Saccharomyces cerevisiae S288C: one gene and its partners. The protein of the gene in region 3 interacts with the protein of the main gene of each other region in a biochemical or structural test. Each region holds a gene or a part of one and is shown on either strand. Other genes may lie near its edges.

Region 1 (5,816 bases), on a different chromosome or scaffold from region 3:
AATCCTTGTGGATCTCTCAAAAGGTGGATAGCACTGAAGTTTAAATACCCTTGAGGAGCACCCGGTCCGTTCTTCTTCTTCTTCTTCACAGTTTTTATGGCATTCTCCAGCTTCTTACCACGTCTACCCGTTTTTTTATTGACTTGCATCTTATGCCTTAATGCATCTAAATCAAACCCATCCTCATCCTCGGAATTTTCTTCAAAATTTTCTTCACGTTCTCTGTCAGCATCCAAAAAAAACATCACACCAGACATGACAATCTTAACATCCTGATGTAATGCTGCTTGGGTCATAATTTCTACTGTTCTTGAATCATCCCAAATACCACGTCTCCAAAGTTCTCTGGTTAATTTTGTGGCCCAGATTCCCTGGGAATCTGGTTGATCTAACAAATTAAAGCAAACGGCCTGCGTAGATTTGTTCAATTTTTGATTTTTACCATTAGTATTACAACTTTTTAATAAAGAAATTAAATTTGTATAAATGATTTTCCTCAATTCCTTGGCGTGTGAATTAACGCCGAGTGAATTACCATGGGAAGAGTAAGCAACCAATAAAGGAAATAAGCTTTGAATTAATTCCTCAGCAGTAATGACGTCCTTATTCCTTAACATCGTCAAACAACTTAAGATTTTTTCTTTCAATTCAAATGGCAAGGACTTATGGTGTTCCAGCAAAAGCTGCTTTAATTCAGACGGGAAGTTTGCAGTTTCACGAGGAAAACATGAGCAGACTTGAGATACGAAGCCAACCAATTCAATAAGTTGCGAAGTTGAAGTGCTCATGGTGGTACCGTTAGTACCTGCCATTGTAGAAGATCCATTTCCTACATCGAGCCCATTAGTGGCAGCTGCAGAATCACCTCCAGCAAGCCCATTTAACATAAAAATGTCCCTTAGCGATTCATAATGTGCATATTGTTGAAGAAACTCCTCTTGATAGGACTCTGGGTCACGCTTTACCAAATTCTGTAAAAGAATGATATTTGTTGGGAGCATAGCTGCTCTACTTCTTCTACCCATTGTTGATGCCCTTGATTGGTATATTCAGTGCGTCTTGTGCTTCCTCCTTAACTATTATTACTTATTCAAAAAAGTGACGTTTGATATGTTTTTTTAGTGGTAGAACGTTCTATCTGTTAAGCGTGTTATGGTTATCTGCGATGAGATGAGTTTAAAATTTTCATTTTTTAGCCGATCAAGCAAAAGAAAAGAAAAAAAAAAAAAACTGAAATTTCCACCTTACCCGTTTTTTTAATGGAACAGTGATTGTTACGACATTGAGATTTTAGATTTATATAATCACATACATATTAAATAGTTAATGCACCTTTAATTCTTTTGCACTTCATGTTCTATATATTTTAGCCAAAACCAAATGTATTGCGTCTTTATTTCCGTTCCCTTTTTCCTTCCTAGGGTTGATTACCTAAACGTTACCTAAACAAACCGTCAATGGCGTCGTAATTAATCTTCTTGGAGAAACTTGCCTTCTGCAACATGTTCTTGACACTATCAGCAGTTGTGAAATCACCACTTTCCTCAGCTGCCTTCAATGCAGCGTGTAAACCAGACTTATCTTGTAAGTCTGACATCAATCCGATAGCTGCTGCTGCATCCACAGTTTTTGTAGGTTCGTCACTTCTAGTATTATTCCTACGTCTCGTACGTTTTTTTTTCACTGATGTGTTACCTGTGGCAATATCTGCCTCCTGTTTCAAACGTTTACTCTCTTGTTCAAGTAAGAAATCTGCGTTCAGACCAATCCAAATTCTTTCCTTCAATTTAGAAGCTTCCTCGTTTAATAGGTGCGCGTTTAACTCCTCATCATCAACATCTTCTAAATTATCTGGGTCGTCACTAACTTTCGAAAGGTATGTGTCCGTTGTGGGTAACAAGTGTAAATTGCGAGGACAATATGGGTCTGTTTCTAGAGAGTAACCATCAATGGCATCTTGAAAATGCCCAGATTCGTTCTCTTTCTTTTCTTCTGATGTTTTTGTCTTTACCTTCTTGACTTTTTCCTCAGTCCCTTCCGTCTCTTTGTCTTCCCCTTCAACATGCTCGTTCTGGATAGAAACTTCAGAAAGTTTGCGTTTCCTTGTTTCGTTTTCAGAACCTTCATGGTATATATTTTCACCATCTATACCATTAGTAGCCTTAATCCTCTCCACAACACGGGCCCTTCTTTCTGAAAATTGTTTTAAGTAAAACAGGACTTCCTTGGAAGACAGTTCTTGTTCTCCTAATACTTGCGTCAAAATTGGATTTTTATTCAATGCTTCTTCACTTGTTTGAAACATCTCTTCTTTGTCTAAAGAGTCCTTTATTTTTCTTTCTTTCTTTCTGTTCTTCACAAAGGAGGGAGGCCTAGCCTCACCGTCTTCCACATCATTTTCTCTAAATTTTTGAACTGAAAGTTTAGCAGCCTTTGTATTTTTGAATTCGTTCAACCGTTGCTGTAAAGTTTCCTCGGCGACATGTGAAACTGCGACGATCTCTGTATGAGTTCTTCTCAAATTATTCATCCTGCAAGCTAGTAGAATACATGCGCCGGCAATACCTGCAGGTCTACGTCCTTCAAACATCCAGTCCTTGGACATTCTTTGAGCCAATTTTACGGCATCTTTTACCACTTTGATCTTCTTGTCAGCAAGATCCAATTTTTCGGCAAAATGTTGAATGAATAAGGAAGGATCCGCTAACGGCAATTCTGTGATATGTAATTTCTTTACCATTTTCAAAAATGTGGCTCCTATGGAATACACACTCACCTGTAACCTTGAAGAGAAGTCGATCAGCATATGATGCGTCTTTTCCTTTCTACATGCAACGTAAAGACATGAAGCGATAACATTTTGGGACCTACGACCTTGTACAAAGTTATTAGCCAATGCAAGCTTATACCATTGGAAAGCAGCATCTGTGATATATTCCGGGATATGTAATGCGTAAGAAACGGCGCGTAATTTCCTTCTTGCATTGTTCAATGTGGCTTCTCTAGATTCTAGAGCACTAGAACCACCAAATGCAGCATGACTTTGTCCTGCACCGATAAAAGAACCTTGTACTACAGCAGCACCTGCACTTGTTTCACCGAATGTAACTTCAGAGACGATAGGATTATCTTCTGAGACAACACCACAAGCTTTACAAACTAAATCGTTGTTAGCATTGGAAAGATCTCTCTCAAATTCGGTTCCGTGACAGTTCTTACACACTGGCATTGGTATATGACTATGGACTCTTTTTTATTACCGTTTTTACCATTGGGATTGTTCTTGATGCGATCAAAAATATGATTTTTTTTATCATACCTGATACTTCGCGAAAACCTTAGAATAGCAAATAAGGCCATCGCAACATTAATAGACAAAAATTAGAGTCACTTCACTTCGTTGATTTTTGATAGCGACGGCCGTGACCATTGCAAGATTTCTAATGAGGGGAAGAACAACTTTTCTTGTAGATTACCTCCACTTTAATCGGATGTCTTTTTTTACGTCCAAGAGTATTCAATGTCATCAAGATAGAAGCAAATTTTTCTAACACTAAATGTTATATTGCATCTGTATCAGTATATATGTGTATGTGGGAAGCCATAGTTCACTACTTCACAACTTTAAAAACAATCTATTTTCCTTTGTTCACTAAGTGATTTTGTAGGCGTGATCAAGTGCTTACCGGGGGGTTTTTATTTTTTTTAGGTTAGATCCGATGGAGAAGCGATGCAGGTGAAGTTTAATAAGAACCCAATTCGTAAGCAGGGGCACAAACAATCAAGAAGTTATCAAAGTCACTTTTGAGATACCAAGAATCTAATCAGATTATTTTATCATTTTATTTTACCATCAATTGTAATTATTCTAGTTTGGGAATTCGCGATACTTCAATTTGCTAATATCAGTAACCACAGAAAAATGGCAATAGCATTATGGTATTGTCCACCACAAGGATCAGTTGCTTACGAGACATTACAGATGCTTATATTTTCGTTTCAAACGTTGTTCCCAGATTCACCAGTTTTTGAACCTCATGTGACGGTAACGTCCCATTTGGTGTGCAATAGTAAAGATGATGTCAACAAAATCTTGACCTCCTGTGTTGCTGCCATCCAATCGATAAGGTCACACCAAACAGCAAAGAAAGGACGTAAGGGACAGGTATCCCATGCTGTTGCAGCTCCTTTGGTATCTTTCAATGGATGCAGTGTAGGTAAACAATATTTCAAGAAAATTGTGCTCGAGTGTAACAAGAACAAAATACTTTATGGGGTCGCACAAGTCATGAGAGAGATGTACGTAGAGATCGATCCTGAGACGCGAAGTAGCCGTGCCGCCACTTGGGTGCACGAGGAATTCCATCCTCACGTCTCATTGCTTTATTCGGATATTCATCCGGTAAGTCAGGCGTCATTGCGAGTAGTTCAACAAAGAATTGAAGATGCTCTAGACGTGCAACTAGTTCCAAGAGAGAAACGTAAGGGTTCCGGAAACGCTGATGGGTCCAATGAAGTGCAAATGAGATGGGATTTTGACGTATCTTCATCGCTATCTTGGAATATCCCAGGAACGTTTAAAGTGGTCAACTGTGTGGGGCCCGTTCAAGAATGGGAGGTATTGGGACGGGTGGACGTTTAAGCATACATTTATGTGCACTGTAAGTAATTATATAGAATTTTTTTTTTTTTTTTTTTTTTCATATCTGTCAATACTTGAAAATGTTCTAGTTAGAGATTTACGTATACTGATCGCTTGCCTTCGCAAGGGATGGAAATCCCTTGAAAATTAAAAAAATCCCCCCCTAAGCAGCGAAAATTGTAAGATCCATAATATTTAAGAAATGACGAAGAACGTAGTCTTATCGCAGCAGTTTTCCAAACAAAGAATGCCATTCATCAAATAATCCACAACCACCTCAAGAAAAATGGTGAAATTACAAAGGTTTAGCGAAAAGAAAAGCCTCATACACGAATTCGGCAAGTTTATCCTTGAAAAGCAAGAATCGGCGTTAACGGGCGACGCTGATGCAGTGTTCAATATCGCCATCAGTGGAGGATCGATGAACCAAGCGCTGTACGAAAGTTTGGTAAATGACAAAAACATTTTTCCACATATTAAGTGGCCACAATGGAGAATCTTCTTCTGTGACGAAAGATTGGTTCCATTTGAGGATCCGCAAAGTAACTATGGTCAGTTCAAAAAAACAGTTTTGGACCCGCTAGTGCATCAGGGCAACCAATTGAACTTAGGCCCCACTGTATACACTATCAACGAATCATTAATCGGTGGCGGTGAAACGGCCAATAGAAAGATTGCCGAAGAATACGCTTCCATGCTGCCTGCATCATTCGACCTAATCTTACTCGGATGCGGAGAAGATGGACATACATGCTCGTTGTTTCCCGGGGTTGAATTTAATTACCTTGTAGAAGAGATGGACCGCAAGGTTTTATGGTGTAATAATTCGCCCAAGGCACCCAAGGACAGGATCACCTTTACATTAGCAGTAGTAGCCGAGGCTAAAAGTGTGTGCTTTCTCGTTAGGGGAGCTGCTAAAAAGGCTATCATGCATGACGTGTTAATCGTAAAAAATAGCGAACTACCTAGTGTGCTGGTTAATGAAATGGTCGGAACCAAAGTAACTTGGTTTCTCGACGACGAAGCTGGCGCCTTGATTCCTGAAAACTGCTAATTACACTCGTCTTTATACGAAACTGGCTCCGTTAATCACGACAGACAACCTTAATTACATTACATAATAATAAATAAATGACAACTGTCTTCTTTACAGCGTATGTTGGAGCTTACTCCC
Region 2 (6,977 bases), on a different chromosome or scaffold from region 3:
TTGACCACAGGCCTTGTGGTATTTCTAACCGCTATTTACCTGTTAAGTTTTATTTTTGCCCTAAGGGAAGACCTGTCGTTGGCGCCAGAGTCATTGTTCAAACTGCAAATGAGCAGGCTATCGCTTTATCCTTTAATTCACCTATCATTGCCTCATTTACTGTTCAATGTGCTAGCCATCTGGGCACCCTTGAATCTCTTCGAAGAAACGCATGGGACTGTGTACACAGGTGTTTTTTTGAACCTGAGTGCTCTATTTGCCGGAATTCTGTACTGTTTGTTGGGTAAGTTGCTATATCCAGAAGCATTAGTTGCAGGCGCCAGTGGGTGGTGTTTCACCTTATTCGCATACTATAGTTTTAAAGAATCACAGATCCGCCCTAGAACAAGGATCTTTCGCACAGACTACTCAATTCCGACATTATATACACCCCTAGTACTATTAGTCGCAATTGCCGTCGTTATACCTGGCTCCAGTTTCTGGGGTCATTTTTTCGGCTTATGTGTCGGTTACGCCATAGGCTACAAGGAATCGTGGTTTAACAAGATCACTCCACCAGGATGGATCATCACCAAAATCGAAAAAAGTTTAGACGGTTTAATTCGATTAATACCTTGGGGAATTAAGTATTACAGAGATGAGGATATCGACAGAACTAAAGATTACGAACCGTTAATGTCCACAGAAACACCATTGCCTCTCCACAATGACAACTCCGGCACTGTCCTAGGGACTGCCTAGACATTTGTATCGCTATTCTTTCTTTCACAGTTTAAGGATGTATATAAATGTAGTATATATCATTTTATATTCTAATATGCAAGAATTTTCAGTCTCTTCTTTTTCCTTAGCGTGCGTTTATGAAAAAAAATGGAATATGAATAATTACTGGGAGGAAGACCAGGGGCAAGGGGTGAACCATCTTGTCATCTGAAATCTTGTATAAATAATTTAGTAATCAGTTCTTTAGGTTTTCGAGAGTGGCATACAACCTAAAGGGTCAACAGACAACAAGAAGGAAAGGAATTATAGGAGCAAATACACGCCCTTCAAATGGATCCCTTTCACAATGGCAATAAAAGGAGCTCAATATCGTTTGGCTCATCGCAGCGGCAGCCATATAACAAGAACAATTACTTGAGTGGTACTAATGGGCCTTCCTCGGCGGCACAAGATCAAGGTAGAGGCCCATCTCCCTTTGGAATGTCTGGCAACACTACCAATGGCGGTAACAGCAAAAGGAATAGTGGCTGTGACCTAAGTGCCACGTACTATGCAAGTCGATCGCCGATGTATTCACCGTTAGATTTCTCGCCACCAGTTTTTTCACCAAATCATTCTCAGTTACAGCAGGCGAGGGGCTATGCTGCAAATATTCCGGTTGTAAGCAATCTGATGAACCCTTCCATGGCCTCCGTGTGCGAATATCAATCACACTATCCACTCTTTGGGCTCGATTGGAGCGCCGACGACTACGTCTGCTTGGGTTCGTACAAAGAGGACAGCAGAAATAAGTTGCAGGTTCTGCACTCTAATGATCTACTGAGCTGGGAAAGCGTAGTGGACGCAGATGTGGTTTATCCTGTGAGCAAAATCCAATGGGTCCCCTCTCAATTGTATCCAAGGAAACTCGCGACGTGTTCTGACTCCTTACGGATTTGGAGCGTTAGCCCTGAGGAAAGACAGTTCCAAGAACAAATAAATCTATCTCTGTGTAAATACAATAGACAGCACCCCGCCAATCCCGCGGCCGCAGATGACATGAAGGTCATAGGCACTTTCCCACCAATAACATCATTTGACTGGAACACGGTCGATACTAACTTGATAATCTCAAGTTCCATCGACACCACATGCATTGTATGGGATCTGCAAAGCAGTCACTACGTTAAGACCCAATTGATCGCTCACGACAGCGAAGTTTTTGATGTAAGGTTTTTGACAAAATCGACCCAATTATTTGCTAGTTGTGGTGGGGACGGTAGTGTACGAGTATTTGATTTAAGATCGCTTGCGCACAGTACAATTATTTACGAGCCTCCCTCTTCCTCAGTGTCTGGAGCCACTGCGGGTACTATAACACCGTCGTCGAAAGGTTCGGACGCCTTATTGAGGCTGGAGCCATCACCGTATGACCCAAATGTGTTGGCCACTTTTGCAGCTGACTCGAACAAAATCATTATTCTAGATATGAGGAACCCAGAATCCCCTATACTAAACTTACAAGGCCACGGTTCTTCGGTAAACGGGATTAAATGGCATCCCACAAAGCGCAATGTTTTGCTCTCGTGCGGAGATGACTGCCAGGTGCTCTATTGGGACTTGAACAGCTCCTTTATGGAAATTAACGCTGCAGGTAGCAAATCCCCCAGTATTCATGGAACTTCCTTGGAGGACCCTGACGGCGACACAGAGATGACAGACGGTGGCGCAGGATCCGGTTTAAACGAGGATCCCTTAAGTTTAAACAACAACAGCAAGCAGGTGTGCAAGACACTAGAGACTCCTAACATGATGTATGCCAATAAAACACAAGAGATAAACAACATTGCATGGAGGCCCCAGAGGGGCGATTGGTTTGGGTGCGTGAGCGGCAAGAAGTTTCAAAACGTCCGCGTCCTTTGAGACAGCATTCGCCCAGTATTTTTTTTATTCTACAAACCTTCTATAATTTCAAAGTATTTACATAATTCTGTATCAGTTTAATCACCATAATATCGTTTTCTTTGTTTAGTGCAATTAATTTTTCCTATTGTTACTTCGGGCCTTTTTCTGTTTTATGAGCTATTTTTTCCGTCATCCTTCCCCAGATTTTCAGCTTCATCTCCAGATTGTGTCTACGTAATGCACGCCATCATTTTAAGAGAGGACAGAGAAGCAAGCCTCCTGAAAGATGAAGCTACTGTCTTCTATCGAACAAGCATGCGATATTTGCCGACTTAAAAAGCTCAAGTGCTCCAAAGAAAAACCGAAGTGCGCCAAGTGTCTGAAGAACAACTGGGAGTGTCGCTACTCTCCCAAAACCAAAAGGTCTCCGCTGACTAGGGCACATCTGACAGAAGTGGAATCAAGGCTAGAAAGACTGGAACAGCTATTTCTACTGATTTTTCCTCGAGAAGACCTTGACATGATTTTGAAAATGGATTCTTTACAGGATATAAAAGCATTGTTAACAGGATTATTTGTACAAGATAATGTGAATAAAGATGCCGTCACAGATAGATTGGCTTCAGTGGAGACTGATATGCCTCTAACATTGAGACAGCATAGAATAAGTGCGACATCATCATCGGAAGAGAGTAGTAACAAAGGTCAAAGACAGTTGACTGTATCGATTGACTCGGCAGCTCATCATGATAACTCCACAATTCCGTTGGATTTTATGCCCAGGGATGCTCTTCATGGATTTGATTGGTCTGAAGAGGATGACATGTCGGATGGCTTGCCCTTCCTGAAAACGGACCCCAACAATAATGGGTTCTTTGGCGACGGTTCTCTCTTATGTATTCTTCGATCTATTGGCTTTAAACCGGAAAATTACACGAACTCTAACGTTAACAGGCTCCCGACCATGATTACGGATAGATACACGTTGGCTTCTAGATCCACAACATCCCGTTTACTTCAAAGTTATCTCAATAATTTTCACCCCTACTGCCCTATCGTGCACTCACCGACGCTAATGATGTTGTATAATAACCAGATTGAAATCGCGTCGAAGGATCAATGGCAAATCCTTTTTAACTGCATATTAGCCATTGGAGCCTGGTGTATAGAGGGGGAATCTACTGATATAGATGTTTTTTACTATCAAAATGCTAAATCTCATTTGACGAGCAAGGTCTTCGAGTCAGGTTCCATAATTTTGGTGACAGCCCTACATCTTCTGTCGCGATATACACAGTGGAGGCAGAAAACAAATACTAGCTATAATTTTCACAGCTTTTCCATAAGAATGGCCATATCATTGGGCTTGAATAGGGACCTCCCCTCGTCCTTCAGTGATAGCAGCATTCTGGAACAAAGACGCCGAATTTGGTGGTCTGTCTACTCTTGGGAGATCCAATTGTCCCTGCTTTATGGTCGATCCATCCAGCTTTCTCAGAATACAATCTCCTTCCCTTCTTCTGTCGACGATGTGCAGCGTACCACAACAGGTCCCACCATATATCATGGCATCATTGAAACAGCAAGGCTCTTACAAGTTTTCACAAAAATCTATGAACTAGACAAAACAGTAACTGCAGAAAAAAGTCCTATATGTGCAAAAAAATGCTTGATGATTTGTAATGAGATTGAGGAGGTTTCGAGACAGGCACCAAAGTTTTTACAAATGGATATTTCCACCACCGCTCTAACCAATTTGTTGAAGGAACACCCTTGGCTATCCTTTACAAGATTCGAACTGAAGTGGAAACAGTTGTCTCTTATCATTTATGTATTAAGAGATTTTTTCACTAATTTTACCCAGAAAAAGTCACAACTAGAACAGGATCAAAATGATCATCAAAGTTATGAAGTTAAACGATGCTCCATCATGTTAAGCGATGCAGCACAAAGAACTGTTATGTCTGTAAGTAGCTATATGGACAATCATAATGTCACCCCATATTTTGCCTGGAATTGTTCTTATTACTTGTTCAATGCAGTCCTAGTACCCATAAAGACTCTACTCTCAAACTCAAAATCGAATGCTGAGAATAACGAGACCGCACAATTATTACAACAAATTAACACTGTTCTGATGCTATTAAAAAAACTGGCCACTTTTAAAATCCAGACTTGTGAAAAATACATTCAAGTACTGGAAGAGGTATGTGCGCCGTTTCTGTTATCACAGTGTGCAATCCCATTACCGCATATCAGTTATAACAATAGTAATGGTAGCGCCATTAAAAATATTGTCGGTTCTGCAACTATCGCCCAATACCCTACTCTTCCGGAGGAAAATGTCAACAATATCAGTGTTAAATATGTTTCTCCTGGCTCAGTAGGGCCTTCACCTGTGCCATTGAAATCAGGAGCAAGTTTCAGTGATCTAGTCAAGCTGTTATCTAACCGTCCACCCTCTCGTAACTCTCCAGTGACAATACCAAGAAGCACACCTTCGCATCGCTCAGTCACGCCTTTTCTAGGGCAACAGCAACAGCTGCAATCATTAGTGCCACTGACCCCGTCTGCTTTGTTTGGTGGCGCCAATTTTAATCAAAGTGGGAATATTGCTGATAGCTCATTGTCCTTCACTTTCACTAACAGTAGCAACGGTCCGAACCTCATAACAACTCAAACAAATTCTCAAGCGCTTTCACAACCAATTGCCTCCTCTAACGTTCATGATAACTTCATGAATAATGAAATCACGGCTAGTAAAATTGATGATGGTAATAATTCAAAACCACTGTCACCTGGTTGGACGGACCAAACTGCGTATAACGCGTTTGGAATCACTACAGGGATGTTTAATACCACTACAATGGATGATGTATATAACTATCTATTCGATGATGAAGATACCCCACCAAACCCAAAAAAAGAGTAAAATGAATCGTAGATACTGAAAAACCCCGCAAGTTCACTTCAACTGTGCATCGTGCACCATCTCAATTTCTTTCATTTATACATCGTTTTGCCTTCTTTTATGTAACTATACTCCTCTAAGTTTCAATCTTGGCCATGTAACCTCTGATCTATAGAATTTTTTAAATGACTAGAATTAATGCCCATCTTTTTTTTGGACCTAAATTCTTCATGAAAATATATTACGAGGGCTTATTCAGAAGCTTCGCTCATATAACGAAAAAAAAGGGTTTGGATCGAACGTAATTGAGATTGATTAGTTAATACTCAAAATAAAACAGCTCCTACCACCAGTGTAAAGTAGAACGTTAATAGAGCAATGTCTTCAGACAAATCTATTGAGAAAAATACAGATACGATCGCCTCTGAAGTTCACGAAGGTGATAATCATTCGAATAATTTGGGTTCAATGGAGGAAGAGATAAAATCAACGCCATCAGACCAATATGAAGAGATAGCTATAATTCCAACTGAGCCCCTCCATTCGGACAAAGAACTAAATGACAAGCAACAAAGTTTAGGCCATGAAGCACCCACAAATGTATCAAGAGAAGAACCTATTGGGATCTCTGGTGATGAAGACACCCAAATCACTGAACAAAACGTTAATGAACAAAGGCAAGAAACGAGAGAACCTAGTTCTGAAATTGATTTAAATGAGCCATTGGATGTTGAAAAAGATGTGACAACGGATGTGCAAGCCCCAAATGGGCTGAATATTGAAAAAGAATATGATGCAGTCAAAGAGAATGAGAAGGTTTACGCTGATACGAAAGAGGTTGTTAGTAGTCCAGAAAATAGGGAAGTAACTGGAAAAAATTCTGGAGGTGAGAAATCATCCTCGAGTAAATTTCTCGATGACGAATCTGGTACTACGACAGCTGCAAATGCGAACGACATTTCTATAAGTAGTGAAGTAACCCCAGAAAGGTCGTCAGAAAATGATAATAACCAGATTCATATTACCAATGAGGTAGCCGCAGGAATAAACTTGAATGAAAACAAGGAACAAAAAGCTGCTATAGAAGATGGGCCCGTAACAGCAGAGAATCTTTCCTCAGAAACTGCTAGGAAAGTACCACCTATACCCACACAAATCATAAATGAAAAAGGTGATAACTCAAGCGAGAACGAGGTTTCCGCAATTCCCACTACATCTTCGCCACCATTACCACCTAGACAAAATGTTGCGACATCAACGTCACCAAAATTACCTCCAAGGGGCAAACAAAGGGAACAACCACCGAAGACGAAGAATGCTGTTCCACCGCCACTAGAGGAAGAAATGAAGTCAGAGAAGTTCCGTAAAAACTTCGAAGAAACTAAAAGAAATAGTTATCATCATGTTCCTCTCACTGGTTCCAAAACTGCGCAATTAGAGTCCACTGCAGAAATTAATT
Region 3 (5,104 bases):
CTATTCGATCATAAAAGCATCATAACTGCACCAGCCAAACCTAGGGCTCCTGGGATTGCTCTTGCGTTAGCAGCATTAGAATTTGTCTCCACATCATGTGTAGAAGAAACCGATGTTTCTGAAGTAGGCTTCTCGATAGTGCAAGGACAGTTGGTAATTGTTAACGTAGTTGGGGCAGTAACAGTGAATGTAGCGCCATTCGTTACGAAAGTCGTTGGTTCTGGGCAGTAAGTAGTGAATTCACTGACAACTTCGTACTGTGTTGCAGTAGCAGTCGAGTTGTAGAATATTGGAGCGGCGGATGATGGCTCTGGTGCTGGCGTGGCTGTATCGTTACCGGCAATAGTAGCATCGCTTGATGGTACCACGATTACAGAGGAACTAGAATTAGATACCAATCCGAGAGCCGTAGAGGCCATGGCCAATGATAGAAGGAGCTTAGCGTTAGACAACATTATTAGTAATAGTACTGATTTTATTTTTGTGTATTGGATTCTTTTTGAGTAGAAAGTAAGATCAAGAGAGTGCAAGTGAAAGACGAACCTGGCAAAAGTAGGCCGACTTTTTATATAGATATACTTACACTTTTCCAGCTAACAGGGATGGAAAGCCCTCATTTGGGCATCTGGGAACTTCGAGAAGTTTTTTTCTTCATCTGGCATAAATTCTTCCAGAGGAGGCTATAACAATAGATCTTCTAACAAGCCGAGGGGTGAGGGGAAGGAACGTCATCGCCTAAATGGGATATCAATTAACCAGATTAGGTAACTTGCGTCCCGGACCTTCAAATAAATACTCGCGGGATTCGGGTTCGAGCCCCGATAGGGGCCCCCAGTCCCGGCATGGCTTTAACCCCATATGTGCTCCTCCAGAGATTAAGCACTAAAGGCTAGATGAGACAAGCACTAATTTCAATGAATTAGCTTTGAATATGATATTTCTTCTTCCCCCGTATTCAAAGAGTCTACTCCTCACGGTTACAATTGAAGATACACTAAAATTCGGTCCATATTGACACCGTTGATGAAGCGTCACTTCTGGATTTTTAGCATAAACTTAAAATATCTTGCATTGTGTACTATTACAGTGGTCCAAAGACGTTCTCCTCTCGCCTTGTTCCAAAATCCCAAAATGTTATGTATGAATGAATGAGGGAAACGTCAAAAATTTTTCATTACCTCGCCACAATTATGCCTTTTCTTGCAAGTCGCGCTCGCGTCAATAAACACATGATGAGTATGTGTAAAGTGATGATGATGGTATGGTAACAAATAGTTGAGCTGAACAGATTACAAAAGATACTATCGAAGTCCTGTGTTCGAGAGGGAGAATAACGGTGGATATCACGTTTCATATGCATAAATTTGATCTAGAGCTCTCGAGAAGAGCGAACCCTTTGCTTTTTAGTGCAGAACGATACGAAGAGTATCCATTGAAATACGATGAATTGAAACAGTACCTTCTCTCCCAAAATCCGTCACATCCGCATCACAATAGTAGACCATACACTTCCATTGACTATTTTGACTATCTTCTGTATAGAAGTAAAAATGACGAGTCAGAAATAGACCTTGACAAAAAGCTAGTGTCTGAGTTCGCCCTATACTACGTTCAAAAAGAGCACTTGAACTCTGATGATCTAAATCCCACACTCAATGAGTTGCTGAAGCTGCAGCCGAAGTCTGCGGATTGGTATGAAATGATGCTGAGGATCCTTGAATCCATTAACACTACAGGGATAGACCAGCTTACGAAGGAAAACAACAACAGTTTCCCAAATTCTAAAAGAGCGAGGTCTTCCACTAATATGGGTGGCACAGATAAATTTAACAAGGGTGCTTACCATACTGACAAAGCTGATGACGATAAAAATGAAATACTTCAAGAATTAACGTCCTTCTTGATGTCAAACTCCATTCAGAAAGGCATTGATATCAAGCCAATACCATTAGATGACCCTGTGAAGTTCTTGAAAAATGGGATAAATTCTATCTTGGATACCTGCGTCAGTCTAGAAAAAAATACGTCATCACCACCTATTTCGCCTAACGCCGCTGCAATTCAAGAGGAAGACTCCTCTAAAAAATTAGAAGAACTAGAAACGGCATTTAGTGATTTGCAACTGGCACACAATTTCTTGACTAAGCAATTCGAGAATGACCGTGCCGAATATGTACAAGATATCGAGAAGCTAACGCGGACTAACAGAGAATTACAAGATAAGTTATTAAACAACCACTCGAATTTGAGTAAAACTGAAAAGAAATTACACGAATTGGAGCAGGAAAATAAAGAACTTGAAAAAGCCAACAACAAGCTGAATTCAAGCAGACATAATTTCGGCATGTCATCACCAGCGAGTTCGCCGGTGACTTGGGATCCAAGTTCACCTTCCTCTGTAGGAAGCCCCACAAGCGGTTCTGGATCACGTTCACTTTCAATAATGACAAGTGAGTTTAAAAAAGTGCTTACGAGTACACAAAGAAAGTATGAAAAAGAATTGTCGGATGAGCGTGAACATAGATTCAAGCTGGAAAGGGAGCTTGCTTTGCTGAAAAATGCAGAGGCAAACACCTCGCTGGCGCTTAATAGAGACGATCCACCAGATATGCTATGAATAAACATCTTATTATAAAACATTGATATATAAATATAGAATAAGAAGAATATACTATAAAAAACCGTTTGATATTACAATTACTTCTTCTTCCTTTTCTTTTATTTCTTTGAGGACCATTAATAATTGAGAAAATGGAACAAATAGAAAACCTTTTTTTCTTTTCGTCTACTCCTTCCCCATCACATTTTTCTAAATTCACTTAGCACAGGGTATATAGCTTCAAAAGCTTGGTAAATTTCTTCCCTTTGCTTTGCACCAGTAAGAACAATCTTTCCTGAAACAAAAATTAACAACACAATTTTCGGCTTCACCATTCTATAGATCAAACCAGGAAACAATTCTGGCTCATAGGAGGAGAAAGTACCATGACTGAATGCTAACCCTTCTAGACGTATAGGGAATTTAACGTCACACGAACCGACAATATTTTGTATTTTGAAGTCTGTGAATTTAGCAGCAAACCCGATTTTTTGGATAATTCTTGCATATTTTCTACTGGCCAGCTTTGAGTCATCCTCACTTTTTGCACCGGTAACAACCATTTTCCCTGAGGCAAAAATTAAAGCTGTAGTTTTTGGCTCTCTAATACGCATGATGACAGCAGCAAAACGCTTGGGGTTATATTCTGCATTACGGGCATGTAGCGCAACTGTTTTCAGATCTAACCTGCACCCCAAAGTCACAGTTGCCACAATGTTTTGTAGTGTTGGAACAATACCTGATGTGGCGGAGGTGTCTTTTTCAGATTCTGGGGCAGCTCTTTTTATGTCCTCTTCACTCTGGAAAGTAGTTGCTGGTTTTGTACCATCTCGATTCTGGTTTTCCCATACTTGTCTGGTATTTGGATCAAACACTATCTTGTTTGCCTCTTTAAACTCCTTTAAACGTTCCTCATCGGCCATAATTAAAAAAGTTTCTCTTGATACACCTGTTTATGTTGGACTAGAAAAGAAAAATAAAATGCAGCCTTTACTTCCTTGCTTCTTCCGCAGAGCAGTCTAACTAGTAGTCGTTTTATTTCTTATGTGTTATCTTTCCCCCGATCTTATAGTCCAAAAAAAACAGTAACTACTGTAATTTTCACGTCCCTTGTTTACTCTTACCATCAAGAATACCTATCAAGGTAAAAAAAGTCATTAGTAATCCTTTGAAGCCATGTTTTATATGTAGATCTTCAAATTTTTTTCTTTTCCCAAAAAGCTCGCGTAAGAGAAACTTGGAAGATAACTATTTACGGCTTCACAATTAAAATACGTAAAGAGATGAGTTAGATCTATCAGCAAAGGGAATCCCGACATCTCAGCTATCAGAGGGGAATCAGTATTGGTAGAAATTGAACGATTTCGAAAGAAGTACAAATTCATGGAAAATCTTGGCGACAAACTTAGTATTTCACAAGTATACCACTTAGCACAGGAATACAGAGACCATGCATATTCAATTGCGAATAAAATCGGTTCTGAGGAAGGGTTGAAGCAGTATTATGGCCTCATGAACATGTCTATCCAGATGTTTCAGCTATTGAAAACGAAATGTACGCTTTCAGTTCTGGAGGATAGTAAGGTCACGTTTGAGATGGTGGAGTTATTGATACAGGAGACGTATAATTTTGACCTAGCAGAGCTTTACATTTCCAGTTTGAAAGAACGGTTACAAACGCACCAGAGCGACACAGATTTGGTAGAAGAGATCATGCGTTGCGAGTTTCTGCTGTTACATGACTTGCCACTTATGAGAGACAGTAAGTTCCACTATAAGATTGCACTAAGAAATTGCAATGAATTAGTCCAGTACATGGTAAATTTGCAGGATGAGTTGTATCAAAATTGGGCATCCGTATTCCAGTATGTCGGCGTGATGCTTTGCATTAAGCTGAAACAGCACCGCAGGGTGAAGACGAGTTTTCATGGGCTACTCTCGCAATGTCGGGAAAAGTCACAATGGAAATGGTTTCTAAATCTGTGTTATGTGAATTACTTGCTAAATGAGAGGTTCCCAATCCCCGAGGATGCTCTGCAGGAGCTGCGAAGCACGGAGCTGCACACGGTGGGGCCTGAGCTATATGCATGGAAGTTGGCATTAGAGATGGTAATCCAGCTTTGTAAAGACGGGAATATTACGGACCACTTGAACGAATTCAAAAATTTCTTTGACACAAACAAGCAATCTCTAGTCACTAATGAAGGTAAGGGATGTGTGATCAAAATCATGCCAAGGATAGCGCTGAAAGTAGAGTTGCCTATGATTTTCCACTACAAAGAATTAAAGAACATACTGTTATTATTGCAAAGTGTCAGCTACATCGTGAACTGTTATGACGAAAAGGGCAATTTTTCCAGGAAGTTCCTCCCCAAAGTCTATTCTACAACGCAGAAACTGATTAAGAACATTGCCGCTGGCGGTGTTTCGATGAATGAGCTGGACTCACGAATCCAGACATACAAGAGCATTCTTGAATTCTGTGAGTTTTACAAAGTGTGGGAA

Evidence for each region. Proteins that work in one complex are often made in the same cells at the same time.
Region 1: the proteins of SPT15 (region 3) and BRF1 form a complex in vitro, tested with the Saccharomyces cerevisiae proteins (6 studies listed by BioGRID, with this or other methods).
Region 2: the proteins of SPT15 (region 3) and GAL4 form a complex in vitro, tested with the Saccharomyces cerevisiae proteins (5 studies listed by BioGRID).

Annotation. Positions count from the first base shown.
Region 1 is NC_001139.9:981,044-986,859, forward strand, and holds BRF1 (transcription factor TFIIIB subunit BRF1), read right to left. Parts: upstream 3,230-5,816; coding exon 1,439-3,229; downstream 1-1,438. Other genes in the region: SDA1 (Sda1p), read right to left, coding at 1-1,025; CPD1 (2',3'-cyclic-nucleotide 3'-phosphodiesterase), read left to right, coding at 3,923-4,642; 6-phosphogluconolactonase SOL4, read left to right, coding at 4,929-5,696. UniProt on the Saccharomyces cerevisiae protein: General activator of RNA polymerase III transcription. Interacts with TBP. Binds to Pol III subunit C34 and to the TAU135 component of TFIIIC.
Region 2 is NC_001148.4:78,273-85,249, reverse strand, and holds GAL4 (galactose-responsive transcription factor GAL4), read left to right. Parts: upstream 1-2,893; coding exon 2,894-5,539; downstream 5,540-6,977. Other genes in the region: putative rhomboid protease RBD2, read left to right, coding at 1-741; YPL247C (uncharacterized protein), read left to right, coding at 1,054-2,625; GTPase-activating protein GYP5, read left to right, coding at 5,897-6,977. UniProt on the Saccharomyces cerevisiae protein: This protein is a positive regulator for the gene expression of the galactose-induced genes such as GAL1, GAL2, GAL7, GAL10, and MEL1 which code for the enzymes used to convert galactose to glucose.
Region 3 is NC_001137.3:463,721-468,824, reverse strand, and holds SPT15 (TATA-binding protein), read right to left. Parts: upstream 3,523-5,104; coding exon 2,800-3,522; downstream 1-2,799. Other genes in the region: SPI1 (Spi1p), read right to left, coding at 9-455; PEA2 (Pea2p), read left to right, coding at 1,355-2,617; cohesin-loading factor complex subunit SCC4, read left to right, coding at 3,983-5,104. UniProt on the Saccharomyces cerevisiae protein: General transcription factor that functions at the core of the DNA-binding general transcription factor complex TFIID. Binding of TFIID to a promoter (with or without TATA element) is the initial step in preinitiation complex (PIC) formation.